Linked DNA regions of Schizosaccharomyces pombe. Each later gene encodes a partner of the first gene's protein in a complex. Each region holds a gene or a part of one and is shown in the gene's direction. Other genes may lie near its edges.

Region 1 (3,500 bases):
GAGGTCGAATTATACGTGGCCAGTTTTTAAGAGTTGGAGATGTAACATTCACATTTTCTAGTAAATCCTCATCATTCTTGAACCTTTGTGTGGTATTATTAAGCGGTCTAGTTATACCCTTTTGAATAACAACATAACTGTAATGAGAGCGATCCGAGGATCGACGATGAGAACGAGGGACATATAGACGGGAAAATGGGGATAGGAAAAAATGTTGTTTGAAAGAACAAATATTTGCTCTTACCCCATTTTCTATATCAATGGGGCAGCGACCATCGTGGGGACAGGGTGCTACAATATGGGCATTGAATTGTTTATCAGAAGTATTTTTACTTTTTTGCAATAGAAATGTTCTAGCTCTTTGAATCAAACTAAAGCCACGCTTTGTGCCTCGCTCGCAGAGCACCAAAAGACCACCATCATTTGACACGAGACTCCAAAGCGAACGAAGATAATCAAAGAGTTCTTTCTCCGATTTCATTTCAAGAAGCTTGTTAGATGCAATAACTAGAGTGTATGAATCCTTTTTACCCAATGGTAGACGGTTAAGCGTAACAGGGCTAGTTGGATTCGGCGAAGTTGACGGGTAAATGTTATGGTGAATATCATATATGATTTTTTTCAAAAATGGGTTCTCCTCAACAATTGAAACTGAATTAGGTGTGGGAAAGACTGAATAACTAGCTAGAGCACCAATACCTGGACCTTTACCGCAATCCAGTATATGTTGAGACTTGCAAGACACATCACTGTTTACAATTTTCAAGTCAGTCAATACGCTGTATAGAGAAGCATATTGATACGGCATAGACTGATGAATATAAGCTAAAACTTGGGGATCTGTCATAGTCCGAGTAGATTCATCTTTGAATGGCGCAGACAATGGAAGCTGAGATTCCGTAGCCAAATCTTTTTTAATATCATTAATAAATTTTTTAATTTGTCCTTTTTCGCTCTTTTTCAATAAATCGTCCACATATAGATTAAATTTTGTATGCAAACTAATATCACCACTTTTCTTTTGATCCTTTACCAAAAAGTCGAGTAAACTGGAAGCTTCTGGACGATGTGAAGAGATCAATTCGTTTTTATAATCAGAAAAGTTGTTTTGAACAGCTTGAAAATTTGCATTATACCACCTAATGGTAGTGGTTGTTCCATATGGTATGAGACATCGCTGATTTTGAAAAGTAAAGCAATTCCGTAAATTATAAAGAAACAGAATTTTATATCTGCATGTTAGAATGGGCATATGTGCTGCTCAAAACACCAATTCACCAATGAACAATGGGATTTGGGGATAAAGCACTGATCTGTATATTGTGTAGAGTAAGTGCCTGATTAAGTGGCCGCAGATGGTGTTACTTGCGTTGACAGAAGAATGAATAGTACAATTTCCTACATATCTATATGTTTTATGTTTATTAAATTAGTTCAAGGATAGGCAATTCTGTCTGAGTGAATATTCTCCCAGTTTTAGCTTCTTATACACTTCAAAAAAATGCAAAACTTTGAACTTCTTTGAAAATAAGAACAAGTAATAAATTTTATGATAGTAAAGGAATTATCAAGAAATAGCTAAAATTAGTTTTAGCATTACACTTGATCAAGATAGACTCTTCACATTGATAGTTCTACAGATACCTCTTTAACCTTACCATTCTATTATACTAGGGTAATCTTCGATTTACGAAACATTCCTTGTTAACTAACTACAAACGAAAAGTTGCCGGAAAAAAACAGCCTACATTCCTTGAGTATTTTCATGAAAATTCGGTAATTCTTTTCCATTTGGTTTATATGAGAAGTTTGCAATTGTACAATAATAATTCAAAATGCCCTCGAAAAGAAAAAGAAATCCTTTACAATATCAGACTTCAGGATCATTAGATGAGGAAACAAATCAACGCAGCGCTTTTCCACAAATCGACAACAATAGTGCTTCAGAATCTTTGGAATATGATATACCACTTGATGGTTTAGATTATTTAGCAACTGTGAGGTACGAACATTTATATATGAATTTTTGTGAAAATCGAAATTTGCAACATGAATGCTTTAATCTAATCATTGTAACAATAATTGGGCTTTTTACTGACAAGTTCAGAGAAGAAGCTCGCAAGCTAGTTCCATTTGTAGCGGCGCGTCGTGAGCCTGAAACAAGAGAAACCATTCCTCTTCGCAAATTGGAAATCGAGGCCGGCAAAAAAAGCTTTGACCCGTTTTTACGATACTTACTAAACATAATTGATAAAGAAGGGGAAAGGCTTGAGCAATATATGGAATCTTCTTCATTGGACGCATCTATTTTACCTAAAAATTTACAACAATGGCGTGTATATATTGAGCATAAAGCTCCTTGTTGGGCCATATTAGCAGTGGTTGATTTGGCAACTGTTTTGGAGATCCTAGAAAGCTTGTCCAGCTGGCTTGAAAAGGACGCAATTGATTTACAGGTTGGTAACAAGGATCTCATGCTACTTTGCTGGTGTATTTTTGTTCATTCTAAAATTTGCTAACATTTTTCTAGAGTCAATGGATTTTTTGCTTTTGTTATAAACTTCCTGAGCTTTTGAATGGAGAAGATATATCGACCCTACGTTCAGTACTCAAGTCTTTACGAAGTACGCATACTTCTTTTCCTGCTCTGCAGATGTCAGCATCTGCCCTTCAAGCAGTCTTAGTTTATCGATATGGACAAAAAGATCTCTTTCAAACATAGAGTCTATAAATCTTGGTCGAAAAAAATTTAGGTACACATGTTCATATAGCATACGTTTGTTTATAGGGAAAAAATTAAAATTGATAGCTTGTTTTAAATATGTTTTTAGGATATTATTCCATTAAATAACTGTTTAAAATTTCAGTTTTTATTTGCAAATTTACAGTAAGTACTCAAACTACAAAGATTCTAATGGATCTAGTTCAGTCCTTTCCTTGCTTCAACGCACTTGTCTAAGGAGCTATTCAGTCAATGGATTCGCCTTCATTATTGGAAGTTTTACAAGTTCAACAGGTGGAAAAACTTATATCACCTTCATTAAGGTTTATACTAGCAGTAAGTAAAATAAATAAATGATGATAAATTAATCTCTTTCAGTATTTCACACATCGATATCCAAGATTTTTATTACGGGCATATAATTCTTTTGATGGTATTTATTTATTGGTAAAACTTTTACTTGAGAAATCTCAGCTTAAAAAATGGAATGCTACATCTGTTGAAAGAAGGTTTCAACTCAAACGAGTAATAGCGGTTCGTGACAGTAGTATAATCGCTGAGGAATTCCCACAAGAATCAGAGTCCGCTACTTCGCTCAATGGGATTGACGTGTTAAAAAAGTTGTTTTTAACTTATTGCATACCATATTTGCTTGAAAAGTGCGAATCGTTAACAACGGTTAAAGAAAATCATACTGCCGTTTCTATTCTCTCATTACAGGCTCGTGACAAGCAGAAAGGGGCTTTAAGTGTATTTTATTCGAAAATTAAGATCCTAC
Region 2 (3,332 bases), on another chromosome or scaffold:
TGACCATTCCCATACTTTGCTTAAAATGTAATTATTATTAGAATTTACAAACGAAATATGTGAAATATTAATTTATACTTAAAAGAAGCATAGGTTTTTTTTTCTTTGTAAAACATTAAATTATATCGCGTTTCATTAAAAGCTTCTTAGGCCTAGCACTTGGAACATCTTTAAGCTCTTCTGCTCGTTGTATTCGAAGTTCTTCCGTTCTTCTTGTTGGATCATTTTCAGCCACCAATCGATGCGCAAACCAGTTGCTGTTCGTTTCTGTTATATTTTTTTCGCCAAGCCTATCAAAACATGAAAAGCAACCAGGAACATTGTGTAAGCTGCAAGGTGTGTCTTCTATTTTGCTACCATATTGACTATCCATGACATCTTCATCTTCTGCATTTCGAATCTTGCTTTGAAATGATGAAAGTGCTCGAAGGGTCGACTCTTCGTCATTCTCCAAGTTTTTTCGCTTCCCTAAGACAACTTTTTTGGATTTTTTATACTTTTCAAGTTCCTCAGTCAAGATGTTCCGTTTTTTAGGACGTACAACCACGGGTTTCGAGTTTGAAGAGCCACCACTTTTTTCTAAGTCACGAAGTTCAGACTTCAAACGGGAAATTTCTTCTTGTACCTTGGACTTAGAGGAAGAATTTAACTTTGTATCTAAAGTGTCTACTTGCCTAGCATATTCATCGGAAGAGACTTTAGCAGAGGTCAATCCAGTTTGGGCAGACGAGTAAGTACTGTGAATTGAGGATGAAGATGAAATCAAATCTTTACTTAACTCAGTCGTAGTATCAGATGATCTGGATACTGGCGTTTTCTGCCTGAGCGGCTTTTTTACAATAGGCATATCGACTTCATCGCCAAAACTGAGAACTGCTTTATTTCGTCGTCCGGATTTCAATAATTTGTTTCTTTCTTTCTGTTTTTCCTGGTGGGCTAGCTCATTGGCAATTTTCTCTCTTTCTTCTTTAGTTGAACGAGGTTTTATGTCAGTAAAATAATTGTCAATTACCTCTGTTGAAATTATTTTTGGGGGAAAAACAGGTCGTTGGTTGGCATCTAACTCTAACTCAGATATCCTTACTACATTGTAAATGGTATCCCCTACAACACGTCCAAATAGAGTTTGCTTGCCATTCCATTCAGGTGTTGGACCTAAGGTGATAAAAAATTGAGAGTTGTTTCCCTCATTTTCAGTACATGCCATTCCCACTAATCCTCTTCTTATAAACCGTAACCTAGGATGTGTTTCTACAGCAAAAGGTTCACCATATATAGATTCACCACCCATTCCAGTGCCAGTAGGATCTCCACCCTGTATCAAAAACTCTGGTACAACTCTATGAACAATGGTTCCATCGTAATAACTGTATTTAATTAGTATATTTGTAAACCCGAAGCAGTTTAATGTTGCAACATTTGGGACTACAACGTTGCTCATCAACGATTTAACTTACCCTTCCAAGCATAACTGTATAAAGTTTCTACAGGCCTTCGGCACTTCTTTGCACCAAAGTTCTATCTGGATATCGCCGCGAGTAGTTTTAAGGATGACAGTCCCCCTATAATGTTAGTAAAAGTAACTGGAAATCTGAAAAACATACGTTGCCAAAGGCTCCAAGTTGGTCAAAGTCTGAGAGATTAGTCGAAGGGAGCAAGAAAAATATACTTACGGCCATTCCATAAAGTACATCAAATATTAAGGATCGCTAAATTCTTAAAGAAACTACTCATCTTGTAAGTTTGCGTTGTTAGTATAATCCTAACGTATTACCTTGTTTTGCTTTAATTGGGTTATCAAATTCACTACGATACAGTATTTTAATTTGGGTGATTCATTAAATGTTCTAGCGTAGCTTTGCTCGTTCATCAAATTGATTTCATCGCAACTTGTTACAACTAGCAAAGTAATCCTTACTGAATCCAATATTGTGTAAAACCACGGAACTTTTAATGAGTTCTGAAATTACAGAAGGAGACTTACAGAAATTCCATGATGAGCATTTTAATGCAAAAGCAGTAAACCTATGGAATGTTGCTTTCGCGCAAAACGATCGTGGGGGAAATTCAGAAAGTGCAAACGTTGAGTATACACAAAGTGTAGAGCGCTATCCTGATGGGACTATACGAACGTTAACAGATGAGCAAATTCTTTGGTTCCGTGAATCGGAAAAAAGGGAGTTAATGTGGAAAAAGGAGAAGGAGCAATTGTTAAAAGAAAAAGAATTAAGACAAAAAGCACTGGACAAGGAGAGAATGGTTTCTTCCAAACCAGAAACCAACCCAAAAACACCAATCTCATTAAAAGAATTGAAAGATATCGAAATATATCAAAACCAGTTCCATTACTCGGCTTATGAAATTTTAGAGGAAGAAAAAATACTTGATAATATTTTTCGCAAGTTTACTGCATTACCTATCAAATATTGGCCGGCAACACCAATACGAGGATAGAACGTTTTATGAATTGATGATGTTCAATAGAGTAGAAAAATTTCCTGCATATTAATGAAGGATACGCTTAATATTCAATAAATGTCACCAATCTTCATGAATACATTATACATAAGTATATTGCATTTCTTCTACATTGAACTATGATTAATGATATATACCAATTCCTTAAAATAATTAAGGCTAGTGAAAGAATACGATAATTTTCAATCTAATACTGTTGTATTGTTTTATGCAGGTGCTGTACCTTGTAAAGTGATGAATGATACTACTGTAAACATCTAAATATTGGATAATATTATAATCTCCAAATAGTTTATAGCTGGACGGAAGAACGTAAATCCAGCTATGTTCTTATACGGAACCTAGTAAAATAGACTGGAAAATTATATCTGATAAAACAAAATGATCTCTAGCGTACCATAATATTGGAATTTGAAAGATATAGGATTTTCGATTCGTGATGATATATGTACTGCACAGTCTAGCACTATACTGTACTGATCGTTAAAAGTAGCTGTAAAATTATGTTAATTTTTTATTGTGTACTTCGTTATTTTTCGGAGAACTTCGGATATGTAGTTTCATCAATCGGTGAATTCGGTAAATACAACTAACCTTCTTAGCAAATCACAGCACCCACAAACGCCGCCATTTTTAAACCAGAGGCAGCTTGACGTTTCTTCCCCAACCGCTACCCACCGAATATTTCAACAACCTGTTTCTCTTTAAAACGTTGTAAAAATGCTGGCCAAGCAATTTATTTCTAAGTCGTTAGCATCTTCGTTAAGACGGTTGCTTCCCGTTTCAAGCACTGCTTCGTCGTTGAAGGGCTCAATGATGACCATCCCAAAATTTACCTCTATTCGTACATATAC

Evidence for each region.
Region 2: yip12 (region 1) and gem8 share a complex: the UniProt entries of both Schizosaccharomyces pombe proteins name them as parts of the core SMN complex.

What each region holds. Positions count from the first base shown.
Region 1 is NC_003424.3:1,268,915-1,272,414, forward strand, and holds yip12 (SMN complex subunit Yip12/Gem2), read left to right. Parts: upstream 1-1,835; coding exon 1,836-2,002; exon of another isoform or gene 2,003-2,107; coding exon 2,108-2,456; exon of another isoform or gene 2,457-2,530; coding exon 2,531-2,722; 3' UTR 2,723-2,832; downstream 2,833-3,500. Other genes in the region: rsm22-cox11 tandem protein cox1101, read right to left, coding at 1-1,252; pex12 (ubiquitin-protein ligase E3), read left to right, coding at 2,975-3,058, 3,101-3,500. UniProt on the Schizosaccharomyces pombe protein: The SMN complex catalyzes the assembly of small nuclear ribonucleoproteins (snRNPs), the building blocks of the spliceosome, and thereby plays an important role in the splicing of cellular pre-mRNAs.
Region 2 is NC_003423.3:2,289,925-2,293,256, reverse strand, and holds gem8 (protein gem8), read left to right. Parts: upstream 1-1,916; 5' UTR 1,917-1,953; coding exon 1,954-2,454; 3' UTR 2,455-2,662; downstream 2,663-3,332. Other genes in the region: cyclophilin family peptidyl-prolyl cis-trans isomerase Cyp7, read right to left, coding at 116-1,367, 1,458-1,562, 1,605-1,633, 1,674-1,679; Rieske iron-sulfur protein, ubiquinol-cytochrome-c reductase complex subunit 5, Rip1, read left to right, coding at 3,199-3,332. UniProt on the Schizosaccharomyces pombe protein: The SMN complex catalyzes the assembly of small nuclear ribonucleoproteins (snRNPs), the building blocks of the spliceosome, and thereby plays an important role in the splicing of cellular pre-mRNAs.